Arabidopsis thaliana: one gene and its partners. The protein of the gene in region 2 interacts with the protein of the main gene of each other region in a pairwise test. Each region holds a gene or a part of one and is shown on either strand. Other genes may lie near its edges.

What was found. Proteins that work in one complex are often made in the same cells at the same time.
Region 1: the proteins of AT1G47530 (region 2) and AT3G03210 interact in a protein complementation assay, tested with the Arabidopsis thaliana proteins (one large-scale study listed by BioGRID).
Region 3: the proteins of AT1G47530 (region 2) and TPC1 interact in a protein complementation assay, tested with the Arabidopsis thaliana proteins (one large-scale study listed by BioGRID).

The regions. Positions count from the first base shown.
Region 1 is NC_003074.8:739,017-742,819, forward strand, and holds AT3G03210 (Pmr5/Cas1p GDSL/SGNH-like acyl-esterase family protein), read left to right. Parts: upstream 1-1,687; 5' UTR 1,688-1,970; coding exon 1,971-3,077; 3' UTR 3,078-3,293; downstream 3,294-3,803. Other genes in the region: EXPA13 (expansin A13), read right to left, coding at 3,639-3,803. UniProt on the Arabidopsis thaliana protein: Component of the plant cell wall polysaccharide acetylation pathway. Does not directly catalyze O-acetylation of xyloglucan but exhibits weak acetylesterase activity in vitro.
Region 2 is NC_003070.9:17,449,634-17,454,970, reverse strand, and holds AT1G47530 (MATE efflux family protein), read right to left. Parts: upstream 3,419-5,337; 5' UTR 3,248-3,418; coding exon 2,978-3,247; exon of another isoform or gene 2,684-2,977; intron 2,583-2,683; coding exon 2,387-2,582; intron 2,298-2,386; coding exon 1,952-2,297; intron 1,856-1,951; coding exon 1,769-1,855; intron 1,684-1,768; coding exon 1,627-1,683; intron 1,535-1,626; coding exon 1,177-1,534; intron 1,095-1,176; coding exon 1,008-1,094; intron 915-1,007; coding exon 861-914; 3' UTR 510-860; downstream 1-509.
Region 3 is NC_003075.7:1,578,119-1,585,938, reverse strand, and holds the start of TPC1 (two-pore channel 1), read right to left. Parts: upstream 6,011-7,820; 5' UTR 5,687-6,010; coding exon 5,567-5,686; intron 5,239-5,566; coding exon 5,095-5,238; intron 4,999-5,094; coding exon 4,891-4,998; intron 4,581-4,890; coding exon 4,485-4,580; intron 4,370-4,484; coding exon 4,239-4,369; intron 4,047-4,238; coding exon 3,986-4,046; intron 3,889-3,985; coding exon 3,722-3,888; intron 3,630-3,721; coding exon 3,524-3,629; intron 3,418-3,523; coding exon 3,340-3,417; intron 3,187-3,339; coding exon 3,125-3,186; intron 2,979-3,124; coding exon 2,906-2,978; intron 2,788-2,905; coding exon 2,722-2,787; intron 2,630-2,721; coding exon 2,486-2,629; intron 2,410-2,485; coding exon 2,352-2,409; intron 2,083-2,351; coding exon 1,975-2,082; intron 1,888-1,974; coding exon 1,824-1,887; intron 1,749-1,823; coding exon 1,580-1,748; intron 1,342-1,579; coding exon 1,277-1,341; intron 1,122-1,276; coding exon 1,031-1,121; intron 857-1,030; and 8 more. Other genes in the region: GSL05 (glucan synthase-like 5), read right to left, coding at 6,744-7,820. UniProt on the Arabidopsis thaliana protein: Functions as a voltage-gated inward-rectifying Ca(2+) channel (VDCC) across the vacuole membrane. Is one of the essential components of the slow vacuolar (SV) channel.

The sequences.
Region 1 (3,803 bases), on a different chromosome or scaffold from region 2:
ATTTCTATTGGTTGCATGGGAGATCGAATCTTGGGTTAACCCAAAACTGTTGCAATCTCTCTTTCTTTTTTTTCTTTTTTTTTTTTGTTATTTGGCGGCACTTCTAACTGAAATAACTGTCTCTTTTGTACCCACTTGCATGCGAATCCTTTGTTTCCCTTCACATTGCCATCCGATCTACGTACATAGATCTTTTTTAAAAATAGATATCTTGATGTTGTAAATTTATACTAGTAGTGTTTTACATTTTATTTTGTCATTTATATATGTCTATTTCTGTTTCTCATATTCATATTGTATATCGTATATCGAATAGAAAGATGAACTCCATTTTATGGTCGTTCCATCAGTTAATGCTCATATATTTTCTAGTGTATTAGGCTGTTAATGTAAGGTTGTGTGATTCGGGAAAAAAAATTGAAATTTCGGAGATTTTGAAACAAAAATTAAAAAATTGAGTGGCCAGAAATCCTTTCCTCTCCATATTTAGTGTCGTCATATAAAATACCAAAACTTTTGTTCCAATATAGAAAAACTATTGACCGAAAGTCCAATTACGTACTCCAAAGACTTATGGATATAAGAAATTATAGTTTGAGTATTTATCATTTTGGTCGAAACTCGAAAGCTATATATAATCATATGAACATACAGTCACATTTGGTGTAGGCGACTATAAAACTTATCTAAAGTTGATTTATCAAAAAAAAACTTATCTAAAATTTGGAAAAATGAAATCGATCAGATATATATATATATATATATATATATATATAAAATTTGAACAAGCATATGGTTTTGAGATGGTTATATGTATGATCATGTGGGATCCAGCAGTTGTGAACATGTGAATAAATCCTTGGAAGCTATTGATGGGCCAACCCAAGAGAATCACTTCTCAGCCTTTCTCATCATCGTCATAACCTTTTTCTCTCATTATTCCAAATTCCATATTCTCTTTCTTCTTTGTATCACCATATATATACACATATATATATATCTTTAATATATCTACAATGTGTACATAGTACATACCCTTCTTGAGACATTTCCCTCACATGAATCCATCTTTTGGTTCTTTACTTAATTCTTTTTAACGTTCACACACATTCTATAAACTAATAACATATTAGTCCTATGATTAGCCCCACCATTAGATTGGGTCATTGCCTCATTGGCAAAAATATATAAATTTGGTTAGAATGAGAAAGTAATAAATTAAAAGTTAATATGTAAAAATCGGTTGAAACTATTATGAAATTTCGGAGTCTACAAGATCCCCAAGACTTAAGACCGTGAAGAAAAATCACGAAATTACATGTAACTTTAGCTATAAAAAAAGAAGTCTAAATGATTATAATGATTTTTTCTCCATTTATTATATGATGAAAACGCGGATCTACAGAATTTAATGTCATTCCAAGATGAAATCGTACGTATGAAAATACACATAAGGAAAGTGTCATTGATTTGTTGAACGATGTGGGCTAAATGGGCTTTCCCGTGGGCCGAGTAACTTATGATCAATCTACAAGCGGTCACGTGAATAAATGGGCTTGACCGTGGGCCGAGGAACTTATGATTAATCTAAAAGCGGTCACGTGATTCCCAGCGGTGAGCGCACGTTAGAATAGTTCCCAGTTCCATAATGAGGCTAAAGTGAGCCGAACCATGTCTGAGAGTCAGAGAGATGAGATCATAAATTAATGGAGATCTTACAAATATGGAAAATTTTAAATACAAAAAATCGAACCAAAGAAGAAGAAGCCTACGGTTGTTCTGTTCCTTTCAATCTCACCAAATTTTCATCTTCACCTTCAATTTTGATAGATTCTCTTCACCGAACCAAATCCGTAACCCTAGCTTCTTCTTAAATTATAGAGAAAAAGAGTTAATTCGAATCTGGATGAAATTGGTTTTGTCTAGATGGAAATCTAGATGTGTCTGATTCCGAAATCTGAGTCTGAGAGATGCTAGGAGCGATTCATTTGGGAGTATTAGCAGCTTGTTTCGTCCTCTTCGTTCCCATGGCAATGGCTGGTTGGCATCTGAGCAGGAACAAGATGCTCTTCTTTAGTGGCGCTTTGTTTATTTCTCTCGCGGTTTGTGTTCATCTCACGCCTTATTTCCCTTCCGTTTCCGACATCGTTGCCTCTGTTTCCTCTGTTGTTGTCTACGATCATCGTATCTCTTGTATCAACGAGGTTAATCAGATTGTCTGGGATGTTAAACCGGTACCGAATCCGGAGTCTGTTCGTAGGAACAATGGCTCAACAAAGCTTGATTATTTCGTGAAGAACTGGGATTGGATGAAATCGAGGAAAGTTTTGAGTTGTGAGTTTCAGAAATTGGATAAGTTCGATGTTTCGGATTTGTTGAATGGATCGTGGGTTGTTGTTGCTGGTGATTCTCAGGCGAGATTCGTGGCTTTGTCTTTGTTGAATCTTGTTTTGGGTTCGGATTCCAAGGCTATGGATTCGGTTAGAGGGGATTTGTTTAGGAGACATAGTGATTACAGCATTGTGGTTAAGGAGATTGGGATGAAGCTTGATTTTGTTTGGGCTCCTTATGAGAAAGATTTGGATGATCTTGTGGTATCTTATAAGAAGATGAAAAAGTATCCTGATGTTGTGATCATGGGAACTGGGTTATGGCATATGCTTCATGTGAACAATGCTTCAGATTTTGGTTTTAGGTTGAGGCAATTGAGTAGTCATGTGGAGTCTCTAGTGCCCCTTACGCCAAAGGAGCAAGAAGGAGGTGGGTCGGTCTCCGGTAGATCTGTGCATCTGTTCTGGATTGGGATGCCGGTTTTGATCAACGGGATGTTGAATACGGATGAGAAGAAGGAGAAGATGAGTGATACGGTGTGGCATGAGTATGATAGATCACTCGGGGAGAGTAAGATCTTACGTCAAATGGGTGGTCCTCTTATCTTGCTTGATATCCAGTCGTTTACCTGGAACTGTGGACCGCAATGTACACTTGACGGGATGCATTATGACTCTGCGGTCTATGATGCCGCTGTCCATGTCATGCTCAATGCGTTGCTTATTGAATCTCATCAATCTTTATGAGTTCTTGACACGTTTTTTTTTTGTTTTTTTTCCTTTTATTTTGTTTGGGGTTCTCTTGTAGAGTTTTAAGAGAAGTGGGATGTTCATAGGAATTTTACAACACACGGTGATCCTTTTGGCCTGAGTGATCTTCACATTGGAGAAGTAAGTGAACTTACATTCATGGCTATAATAGGTTTAATATCTTTTGACTTTGAGAAGTTATAACCTTTAGCTATTCTGATTCTTGTTATATCACAGTACCCTTTTGGATTCTTTTTACGATAAGACTCAGTACTCATCATTAGCTTTAAGCACTTGAAGGAAGCTTTCGCTCCTTAGTAATGTAAACAAATAGATACAATAGTGATGTTTGTGTGATCACTGTTCTTAGTACATTGGTGAGTTTTTGTACCTATGCGTGGGAGAGAGAGAACTATGAAATGCAAAAGTCTGACCCAAGTTCTTTCCTTTTCAACCCTAAAGATAACCTTAGACCAAGATCGATATACTTGCCATCAAAAAATTCTGACCCGGAAAAAAAGAATCATGGGATTGTATCTCAATGTGTCCGTCTCTGTCTCACGGAGTCTCGAATTGTTTCCCTTCGAAGGTCTGTCCATAATTCCAGTTTTTCGGGGAGACATTGTAAGATGTCACGGTTGACCTGTCACTAGAAGTTACTTCAAATGAGAGAGCTTGGTTCCTGAGATCAGCATTAATATGCCAATTTTGTCCCCAATTACG
Region 2 (5,337 bases):
TAAAATGTATCAAACAATATAATCATTAAATGATGTTAGTTTGATATTTCAGAAAATGCATTTGTTACCATATTACGGAATCCATTATCCTAACCGTGACCGAATTGATGAAAAGGATTAGTGCATGGGTTGATTCACAATTTGAGCACTATTACTTGTTTGTGTATTTATAGTAAATCTCCATGCGAAAACCAAACATAGTAATTAAGGGTAGACTATCTAGTATATAGCACACAGCTCTCGACTGACCTAAATTTTAATTCAAACACTTATGAGATGGGCAGACAAATTTACTGCTTTAACGGTTAGTCTGTGACCCTGATTCATGAATTGTTGTAGTCCATCTCTAATATATTGTATCGTCACACAACTATTTTGATATTCATTTTCATCTTCTTTTTTTCTTTTTAATATTCCTCTTGTTTATATAAGATTTGTTAATTTTTAGTGACTGAGTTGCAACAGATCAACGACAGTCCTAAAGATCTGTTGCTAATACCACCACTAATTAGCTATGTTTGACAAACGGTAAGATCTTCGCCTTCAAATGAACATAAACATTGGATCAAGTCTGACCATTAAAATAAAAACGAAGGATCAACAAGCTTATGAAGATTAAATCTCATACTTAAAATTAATCAAGAACTTTGGCTTAGCAACAACCATCCTAGAATCTAACATAAGTCTAACACATAACAAACCGTACCCCTCTAACAATCACTGAGAGACTCGTTAACTTTAAGCATATCAAAAAACAAAAAGAGATGATGTTGTTCTCCGATAAACAATTTTCTCAACATTGAACATTGACAAAAAAAGATCAATAACTGATATAGTCCACGTCCTAAGGGAGTTGTTGATCACTCCTGCGCCGTTCCTCCCCATCTCTGAACTCGACTCTCCGCTTGCTCAGCCTGCATAATTTAGAATTCAAAGCTAATTAATGAAATGATCAAACCAAACACAAAGGAGGAACATAGCAGCAACTAAAAGACAAAGTAAGAGACCTCTTTGTTCCAGTTAGTGAAGTAGATGATTCCAATCAATATAAGTGTCTGCAAGCATATTCCAGCTACCATACCTCCCCATATTCCCTACAAAAATATACAAATGATTTAACACCAGATTAAAAAGAACAAGGCTAATACAAAATGGTCATATTAGTAAATAGCTAACCTGAACGCCGAGGTCTAGTGTGAATCCAAGAACAAGACCAGCAGGTAGTCCGATAATGTAATAACACGCAATGTTCACGTATGCAACCAGAGCCTGCCACCCCGCTCCAACCGCAACCCCTGACAAGACGGGCTGGAGGCTGTTCAAGAGGACAGTGAAGCCCAACAAGACGGCTATTCTCGTGGTTTCTGCTGCCACAGCTTCGCTTGAAGTGAAAAGATAAGGGAAGCTGTCTTTTGTGGCTAAGACAACAATCATGCACACTATCCCGATAAGAGTTGAAGTTATGGAGACGACTATCACTGAGAATTTGGCTAACGCTGCGTTTCCTGCACCCAGCTCATTCGATACTCTCACACTGATCACACCAAGAGACAAAGTTCACCAGTTCATGAGATTTTTATTAGCTTTCCAAATGTGGCTCCTGAAACATAAAGGTAGAGAACTTACCTAATCGCAGCGTTAAACCCGATCGAAATCATGGCAGTCCACCCTTCTATATTCATGCTGTGAACCCCAAAACATAAAATATGTTACTAAACAAACCTATTTTCAGTGAGAAACTAACCAAAGATCAGCACAAATTGATTACCAAATGGAGATGGCATCGACTGGTATCAACGGGTTAGGAAGGAGACCGGTAACAACAACCAGAACCATCAAGTACCAAAACTCCAAACTGCAAAACAAAAACAACTAACCTTTCATTACAAGCGAAGTCTCAGCTAACGTAAGTCTAAAGCTATCTTCTAGCCAAAAAAAATTGGATAGGTACCAAAGCATAAGAGCAGAGGCTAAGGAAAGTTTGACAAATCCATAGAGGTCCCGAAACGCTAGCATAGAAAATCCAGTCCACGCACCGTCTGATTTGGTGATTAAGATATACAAAAGCTGACCAATAACAATCAACCACCACGAGGTATTGAGAGTGATAGCTGCACCTACAAGTCCCCACTTAAAGTAAAGAATGAAGAGCCAGCTAAAAACTGCATGTATAACTAAAACCACTCCAGAGATCCAAGCCATCACAAGAACTTTCCTCTGTGACTGCAAGAATTTCTGTATCGGGAAGTTGGCTGCATAGGCAAATAGTTGCGGGATCATCCACAATGCGAACTTCCCTGAAAATTATAACAACGCAGAAGTTGTTACGTGAACATTGACTCCAAACTCAAAACCAATTGGCAAAAAGGAATAACAAGAATGATACCCGCGGCTTTAGAGATGTGAGGAGCCTCGCCGAAGAAGGAAAGAATAGGAGGAGCCCAAATGTAGACGGGAAGCAAAAACAAAGCAGTAGTAAAGAGAATGACCCATGAACGTTGCATATATATTCCCATCATCCTAATCTGTCCCGCGCCATATGCTTGTCCACACAACGTCTCCAATGCACTCCCCATCCCTAACTGCCACCATTTTCCATCATCAAAATGTTTATATTGTTTGATCTCTAAGCTTTTTTCATAGGAAACTTAAATGACAAGCAACAAAATTCAAGAGAGCTTACACAAGGACCCTCGTAGAGATTACTTGTATAACAAATATTATAACACTGAACTCAACTACATTAATATATCTACTTTATTTGAATATAAAACACACTGTTAGGATTTACTTAATCACAATTACGAAACAATTTTAAATGTATGGGAAAATCTACTTCATTGATATTAACGAATATTGATATTAATTAATACAAAAAAAGTCCTCAAATATTGACTTTTATTTCTGTGGCTATTATTAGAACACATTATCCATTACCAAGAACCTGACACGTGTGAAGGGTGTTTACGTAACATACCATGACACCGAAGGCAAGACCGGAGATAACAGAGTTTTCAACTGAGACGGCGGCGAGCTCAAGTTCACCGAGACGGCCGGAGAAAGTCTGAGTGAGAGCACCAAGAGAGTATTGACTTATGGCAGTGAAAATCGCTGGTCCTGCTAACTCCCAAAGCCGCTTCGACTCTTCGCCGAACTCTTTGGCCCATACTTTTGACGCCGACTTGGTTCCGGTGAGTTCCGGTGGCTCACGAGGGTCAAGCAACGGCAAAGTCTTATCCTTTCCCATGTGAAAAAAGCTCTGTTTTAGTTTCTCTTCTTTGCTTTCTCTTTGTTCTGACTTATGATATATGTATATAAATACAGAAGATGGAGACACACTAGTGTGGTAGGTGCCATAATGAATAGTCTAAAAAGGTCTGACATGAGATCTATCCAAAAGAAATAAACCGCCAAAAATGACTAAACGAAGGTAATGGAATTATTTAGTACATATTCTATAGTTTTGGTATGAATCGGCCTAATTTGGTAGTTAAATATTATCAGCATAATTTCTTAATATGAATAAATCTCAATTTAATGGGATTGTTAAGAGTATGGATTGGTTGAAAACTTGAAATGATAGTGTGATATGATAACAAAGATTTTTGTAATAGTTTATTTGGTTTTTGTTTTTGGGCCGAAGTTTGGGGCCGAAACTTTAAACACGTAGTTGAATGCAAGAAAAAAAAAAAAAAACTTGTGGTAATATGAAGAAGTACGTATGTACTAGGTAGGTACACTTTAGTTTTTCCTAGAAGGAGTTAACCGAGTCGTACAAGTAATTAAAATTATTGTGGACAGTGAATATAATGGACCAATGAGGACTTACCAGCTCGTTAGAAATACTTCGACCAAGGTTAAATATAATCAGACGGCTCTTTGAGTCCTAAATTGGGTTCAAAGGGTGACAACGGCAATGAACATTTAGTCACTTACCCTATCGCATTGAATTGGTGGATCTTGTTTTTATTTTCTTTTTAATATTAGGTGTTGGTGAAAGTGCAAAAGAAATTAATAAAATTGATGAACCAAAAAATCGACAGCATTTTGTAACAAGAAAAGCTTTTACACTGTCTGAACTTAACCAAAAGGAGAGTGAATCATGCATGGTCAATTGGTCATTGGTTAGTGCTCAAATTAACCATTGTTGTGAGAGCGAAGTTGTTGTGAAACTAAGAGAAATAAAAAGTCATGAACCAAATAATCGACATCGTTTTATATCAAAGAAATGCGAAAATATTACTTTGAACTTTAACCAAAAAGAGAGTGAATCATGGTAGATGATTATTGAATCGTGATCAAATTAACCATTGTTGTAAGAGCGTAGTTGTTGTATCATGGGATTCTTGCGGTAGTGAGGAAGCTATGTTTCAGAATAACTAGTCTATACTGAGAGGGATGAATCCTCGTTGTATCACATATTGCATGTGGACTCAAAAGATTTCACTCCTTGGTTGTTAGTTTTGTTCACATATTTCTTTTGTTTCGAAAACTAACATAGATTAACTCTTGTGAGTATTTAGTTACAATATCAAACCGTGGTGGCCTAAGCTGCTTAAGGTTACATCGATTGCCTCTGAAGGAGATATGGATGGTGTGATTGTGAAAGATATTATGGAGAATATTAAGGAAAGAGGTGATATGAGGTTTGGATCGAGGTTGCATTTTCCTGATTGCAGAGATGGGACGACCGGGAAGATGAACTATGTGTGTGATGAAGCCAGATTACGGTTCGAGCTCGGCTCTCAAAGAACGGCAACTTTATTTAGAAAACGCTCTGCTTGTCCCTTGATTGTTTAGCGTTCAAACTGTTGGATATTCCTTGCCTTTAGATGTTGAGTTTTCCCTTTAATAAAAAATACTATAAAAGTGTATTGTCCTACTACAGCTTTGATTCAAAATTATCCAAATTTATCCCAAAGAATCACTTTCTTTGCACTAATGAAGTAATGAGGCTACCACATTTTGTTTTCTTACCTGAAGTGAGCTAATATCTAAAGAACCAGACATTATATAAACAAGTGATTGAATACAAATTTGATTTCACATTTGCATATGAGAATTTAGTAGTCATACAATATTGAATAATTGCTCAGAATGTCCTTTCCACACTACCCCTTTTCAATTCTACCTTTTCTTATTTGCCATTTTCATTTATACCTCTTTAAATTTTTAATGACCATTTTACTCATATTTCGAAATTGTTTTAGGTTAACAAAATGAAATATTAATATTTTTTCGCCTAAAATATTCCAAAATAAATTTCCCACCAAAAAATTTCGAAAAAAAAATTTCCATCAAAGTTTTTTTCTCAAAAACATTTTTCCCGCAAAAATA
Region 3 (7,820 bases), on a different chromosome or scaffold from region 2:
AAGTTACATTTTAAAAGGTCAAAGTAAAACTCAGTAAACATTACAAAAGTGTTAAAGAAATTGATGCTCATATAGTCATATAGTCATATGTTTTCATGACAAATTATAACACAATCGTCTTATATTAAATCTTCACCCAAAAGAAGAAAAAATTTAGTCACCTTCTAGATTCTATTGATCTCTCCATATAGAATCAAAGATTCACAGTATAAACGTATAAATAAGCTCTTAACGATCTTGTTTTGTTTTATGTGTCAGAAGTGGAACACTCTGGTTTGCTGAGTTCATCACCCAACATGTGATGAAGAAGTGTATCAACTCTCTGACTCCGAGACTTCGACCTTTAATAACCATAAAAACAAAATAAACCTTCAGATTTTGAGTCTAGTATGATATTACCAACCAACAATTTGACCTATCTACTTACCCTGCAGATCGACGCCTGTTTCTTTTTTCTTGAGAATCCTGCAACGATACAATAACGAGATGAAAACATTGCCGATTGAACACGAACCAAAAGGTTCTTTACTTTTCTAATCTCCCCAACATCTGTAACTTTATGGCGAATCAAAGACAATAACAAACCTGTCCTTGACATTTTTCTTCTTCTTCAAGATCCAGCTCAGTAAAGAACGCCTCCAAGACAAAGGCAACAACCTGAAACAAACACGCATTATAAGTCGATCTAAGAAGCAGAGTTAAGTTTCTTTACAACAATCATGGCCTCTGTTTGATCGAGCTCTTAGGAGTTGGCGTCAGTGAAACTCACCAAATTCAACAGAAGTAAAATAGTGATGACATAGAAACTGACGAAATATGTAATGCTCCACCACGTGCCCGTCAAATCTTTGTAGCTCTGAAAGAAATTAAGAGTAGTTAAAACCATTGCACCATAGTGATTGGCAAATAAGAAGCAAGCTGTTTATAGTACATCTAGCATTGGCCTCCTCAGCTCCAATGAATCTTGCGATACTTCTTGTTGGAAACTATAATGAGTCTAAAGTTGGGACTAACAGAAGAGTGAAATTACCTCCATCCATACTTGCCAGTTACCCATAACTAGCAGATTGAAGAGTGTGACCATTCCATTGGGGTAGTCATTGAAGTTGAACAAAAGGTAGCTGAGTTTTTCCCGTCAAGAAACGATCTTATACTGAAAACGTTTTTACCCCAGTAATAAAAAATTAAAAACACACTAGCAATCACAGGAACAGAGAAGGTGTACTAAGACTGTGTTGAGTGCATTAAAAGTTTTTCAGAAAGTTAAAAAGGATACTCATCCTCAGCCAATTCGGTTTCAAAGAGCTTTTTGTTCCCAGCATTCACAAGCCCTCCAAAGACCTACGGAGAAATGAGATGAAGAAATTTTTATATCTGATTTGGGAAATAGAACCCGTGAGAGAAGACAGGGAAAACACATGAGAGTAGCAGTTCAGCGGTTCCTAAAACATTCAGATGAACGGAAAGATGAAGAATTTCAAGAGGCTTAGAATAATCAAAAATGACGAGAATGACCATTGACCAAGGCTTCATCATAAGCTTGCATTTTTCAGACAAAAAACTCAGTAGTCTGATTTACCTGTACGCCAATAGAGCAGTAGATACACAGCACGCAGAAAATGGTCCCTAAATATGGCATCAAACTTGGAATAAGAGTTATGAACGTCGCAATAAATGCTCGGTATCGCTGGACGTTCATAAGAAGCCTTATCAGTCTTAACATTCTCGCCAGGAGAAGGTACCGGATCCTATCAATGAGAACCAGAGTCTGGGTTAGTACAAAAGAAGACCATTGTAACAAATATGTCATCGTTATTCCTCACCATTCTCCATTTGAGAAGAAAGTATTCTCGTCTGGAGTTATGAAGGTAGCTGTTTCCCCAATAACTGCAGATACAAAGATTATCACTTATAGCATAGCCATCAATCACTCAATCAGCAAAACAAGATGAAAATGCTGCTTCAATAGGTTACCTATGACCCATGTGACTAGAAAATCAAATCGGTTAGCACCCTCTCTCCAATAATTCTCAAATCCATATGTATAGATCTTCAGAGCCATCTCCAACACATATATCCAACCTGTAAAAACATTCAAAGATAGAAATTAAAAGAAGAAAAAGTTAAGACTCTGAAAAGGTGGTCAATAAAATTCGGCTGTTACAATCTAATATGATCCATAGAAGTACTCTACTCAGTGTAATAACACAGGAAATAGCTTAACTTCTATTTCATTCTTCATCTTTTCATCATATTTCTCAGTAACCATAGATTATACACTTCACAAAGCATCAAATAGAAGAAAAATACAAAATGGAGAGAAGATAGTGGAAACCTATTCAAGTTCTTACCAAAGACAAACTCGGCAACCTGCCATGGCTTCTGAGCCGAGCTTTCTTCGATATCAAGCTGCATACCAAAATCTGTTATGGCTTATGAAAGAATTAGGAATCGCATGTCAAAGAAATATGGGAACATGATATACCGTTGTTTCAACAACGACAGCAATGAAATTGATAATGAGGATGAAAGAAATAGCGTAGCCAAAGTTGGGGCTTCGAACAAAGGCTCTCAGTTGTTGTGATAAGGCGGAATGGTAAATTTGCGGAAAATGTTCAAAGAGAGACGGCTGCAATGAAAACAAAAAGGATCGCTAATGTAAACATATGGTGGAGGTAAGTAAATTTTGAGAGAAGGAAAATAAAGTATATGTGAACTTACTACTTCCTCCTTTTGGAATCTTAAAGCAATGGCCTGGCAGAGGTCAGCAAACTCATCCTTGTTTATCTGCTCAACAGGAAACAAAAAGGGGACAAAGAATCTGTTAGTCGTCAAGAGGTTTAGGTGAATAGTAATCTTAAGGTGTATCCTGATCATATGTGCCACATCCTTCACAGATCTCTACCTTAAAGTCACGAGTATCGTCAAGCTCATCAAATATCAATCCGAATTCTTCTTTTGATATCTTCGGCAACGTCCTATAAGGAAAAATGAATGCATATCATTATCAGGTCTCACAAGTTAACATACAAAAGGGAAGAAACCACAAACAAGTATATAAAAGATGTATTTCTTTTTCGAAACATAGGAAAGATTGAAAATACCAAAGATCATAGCAACAAACCTGTAATTAGTCAACTGTTCAAAGAGCTTAATGCATTGGTTCTTATCAATCTCCCCGTTTTTCTGTTAAAACATGAAATAAAGAACGAAGAAATATATGCTCAGCAAAGTGGTTAACTATACAAAGACTCTCCATTCATGAAGATCTTTGCCCAAGGAGAACTTCTCCGGATATCTCTAGGAGTAGATATAATCACTATGCGTAGATGAACTTACGTCTGAGTCTATAAGACCAAAGGCTTTCTCCAACATTCTTCTCTTCATTTGATCCATTCCAGATACTTGCTTTGCGAGCTGCAAACAGAATAGATATGATATGACACAAGGTGTCAAAAGAGGTTAATACTTTTGTTTTAAAAGCTGACATAAGAACCATACAAACATCAAATCCTTAATCCACCTGTTCTTTGAAACTGTCATAAACAACGGCAAGAATCAAGTTTGTGACAAAGTAGACGCCAATTAGCACGTAGAGCACGAAGAACACCGAAGACCAGCGAGAAGACCTTAGAGGACAGAACAAATAAGTCACTAAATTACTGGATGCAACGCCATACAAGCAAACTGAGACACAAATGGGATTTCACCTAATACTTACTTGTATGCAGGAATCCAGACATCAGGATTGTTGGATGTTGTGAACAAAATAAACATCTGGTAAAGAGTTGCACCATATGAAGTGAAGACCGTGAGGCCCTGCTGCGTGTCCTCAAACATAACAAAAGCAATCCAACTGGCAAATAGAAGGAACAGCATCCATAGAGCCTGTGAAAATATTCAAGGAGTTAAGTAAATAGGATGACAATCAATATGAGTTAATTACTTATCTGAAAGTCAAAAATGATTGGGGAAGGCCACTGACCAAGATATTCAAGTATGTGCCAAGCATTCCAGACAGAAGGACAAGGGTGTCCCGAAGTTCCCTGTACAGAAATGTAAAGAATCATAACTTTGGGGAATGTGCTGTATTTAGAGATTTAATAGGAGGAATAGTAGGTCAAATAATCACACGTCGACATTTATCATACATGACATGATCTGCGCATCTTTGTCTATAGAAATAAAGACATATAACCCATATAGTTGATAGAAAAGAAGCAGAGATCTACGGATACCTTATGCTGAGGATGAATATGATAACTCTCACGTATGGGGCGATTCTAAAAGGGAGAAAGTCGAAAGCCAGTGGAGACAGATACAGAAAGTCAACCAGCACATCAACAAACAAAATTACCACGCAAGCAACCTGGAATCAATATGAAGACAAATTGTTGCACGAAGAAAAGGAATTTCTTACTTTCTGATCGATTTTCAACAAAAAGAAGAAACACAAAACTGTGAAGTGGCTAGTAAGGAAATACCTTCACTAGATTCAGGCGACTAGTCCAAAAGATTCGGGAACCTTCATAGGATATCGGGAAGAAAGTATGTACAAGGAGTATAGCCAGGGTAATCACCTATTTGGACAGCAAAGAATATTATAATTTCAGCACAATGAGAAAAGGATCTTGGCCAGTCCTTATAATAAACATATCCAAAATAAGATGTGAGTGTTGATATTAAGTTCTTAACGACGAATTAAACGAGATAAACTAGTCTTGAATAAATACTCAAGGCTTCTCAAGATTTAAAGAAAACAAACATAAGGCAATTCAAGTCTTAAACTTTCAAGTGGATGTACATGTATATCATGAGCCCATCTGCACTAAATCTATGCATCTATAGCAAAAAAACAAAGGCAAACAAGACTTAAGTGTAATTACTTGCCTCATAGATAATGGATTCTGCATTGGTCAAGTACGGTAACTCTCCCAGGTAATAGTAATCTCTATCTTTGCAAGACGGTTTAGGGTTTTTTTCACACCACAATGGTTGCTGCAAAAGACAGGAAAAGTGTGTGATTACTTTCAAGTTGTGATTTTCTATAAATTTTTCAAGCAAGGTTGGTGTATACCAAAGAAATGTGCTGACCTCGAAGAAGTTAAGGAAAAGCAGAGCGAAATAGTTGAGTGACCAGATCAGATCCAAACGTGTGAAGATGAAGTAATACCTAGCAGACTCCCCGAAACTCGACTGATCAAGTATTTCCACAGGAAGACCAATACCATCTTCAGCCTACATACCACAAATCAGAGTCAATCCAACAATCCTCTTGACATAAGACTTTAGAGACAATGAAACAACAGATATCTCCATTCCCAATTTTCAAACAATGCTAATTTCGTGAGGATATACACACAAAAGCATTGACTAATCCTTATACGAAGAAATCACTCAGAAGAAGAAACGATTCATCTTCTCAGCTTAACAAAAACACTGACTTAATGAACTGATAAAATACATAGAATCTCTCTTGGAGGCGATGTGATCCATGTATAGAAACTTTTTGAAAAGTCAAAGAGGAAAACGAATTCAAAATTAGGGTGTAAGAGAATAAGAGAACCAGATCAACGAGTGCAGCTGCTTTCTGAAACGGAGTACCATGCGTGATAGCTTCTGATCGACGAACCCGATCCGTACCACCACCACCAAGACTATCTCTACCAATCAACGGGTCTTCCATTTTTTTTTTCTCTCTCCGATGAGAAGAAAATTACTGGATCGAATTGAAAGCAAATGTCGAGGAGAGACCTAGTAGCTTTCTCTGAGTGATTTGACTGTAGTTTGATAAGATCAAAAGGAAGACGAACAAGATTGATGATGATGGCCCAGAAGTAGTTGAATTTATTATTAACAATTTCTCGATTTTAAAAGTTTCCCGTTAGATCAGTCGCCGTTTTGTTAATAAAAGGATTAGATCTTGCAGACAAACACGTTGGTCCCTCGTCGATTTCTTGCCACGTGGCTTTAATTGCTCAATTCTGTTTTTTTTTATTCCCCAATTCACACTGATTGTTTCCCAATTTGTAATAGAAAAGGGAGCAAGAAGTTCAGGAGCATCCAAGTAGAAAAGTCAAAACCGACAAAGTGGTGTTGTGGTCCAATTATATAAATTTATTTCAATTTTGGACCCAGAAATTGACAAGCAGAAACCGATAATAGACGAGAGTAGTGGAATATGGACAAGTATCTAATCTGAAACTGATCTCTACTAAGAAGGAGAAGAAAAGATGTGAAATGTGAACAAAAGCTCTGCGAGATGACATTAGATAACAATCTGAATATAAACTAAAAATGCTCTAAAGCTCTATAATGAGAGAAGGAGAACAAATACACAAAGCCTCACTACACAAATTGCTGTACCTTTAGAACAAAAACCATACAAGAATCAGAGTTCCCTCCACACACACTGACAATCAAATATCTCCCTAAACCCATCTAACCGAATCAAACCAACTTCCCGATTCCTCATCCAACCAAACTCTCCAAAAACCTGTTTAAAATACAAAGATAAATCATCAGCATCTGAGTTTTTCTTTAGACGAAACAAAACTTCGAATTCGGTTGTTTCGGGAAAACTAACCTCCAACTGATTCCTTCGCCACATACCAATAGGATTTGAACTACCATTTACTTCTTAAGACCTACACAAATTTAAAGCCCGCATTGGTGTGAAATCCAGGATTTAAACGATCATAACATAAGGTGTTGAGAACAAGGAGCTTTACCGTTTTTTAAACTTAGACATCGCCTTTTGATTTCTTCCCAGTGACAATCTGCATGATGCGAAGTCCTCTGCTAAAAGCTTCATTGAATAATATCCTCGTTTGCATTGACTGGAATCCAGGCATCCATGACAAGAACGCTACTGGAACCATTATGAGTATCCCAAACAATATGTCATACATGCGAGCAACAGAGACAACAGCATTCCAGAAAATAGTGTAATTCTTCAGCCACTTCCTTTGAGTCTGTGCGATCAGCAGAATTCCCCAGCCAGTTGGGATGAATGCAAGAAGGCTTGTGAAGATATCGATGAAGCTGAAATGCGTGAACTCGAGCAAAGCAACAATCACCAGTATAGCAAGCACGATCAGGAGGAATTGGACAAGCCTGTACCGTATGTGAGCTTTTGCCGAGTACTTGTCACGGGCGTATTGGATGACTAGGAAGAGCACAAATATAGCAAAGATGTATATCCATGAGAACAAGTAGACAAAAAGGCTGGTGGATCCGTTTGCAATTTTAAGCTGGTATACAATCCCATACTGGAAGAAGAAAAACCGGAGGACCAAGATGATCTCCACAAATAATCCTGCCTTCCCGGTGTTTCTCAGGTGGTCCTGTTCCTCGTACCACCATTTTTCCCAGCTTTGTTCAGATTTCGTTGAGATTCTGCCTTGGTACCAGATCCAGTTCATGAAGTCTTCAAAGTCATAGACTGTCTTAAGCCAGTCGAATCCTGATGGGTTAAACACAAATGGGGCCATTATCCATGAAATCACAAGAAACCAGCTGGTGATAGTCATGGCTATGTAAATCAACGAGTCTTTGGCAATCGGACTGTGCGAAGCGTAGACTATGAGGATCAGCCCAAGCTCGATGGCCTTCACAAAGTGACTGCGTGCATACAGTCGGTAGTTCTCAGTGAATCCCTTGTGCTCGACAACAAATCCACGTCCAGTGGCTCTATACTTGGCCCCACCATGGAGAATAGTTCGACCGAAATAGTGAGCTCTGGTCCCCATTGAGAATGTGTAGAAGACAGCTGAAAGCTGAATCTGCATTCGAATGAAATTCCATATCGCTAGAAGGAA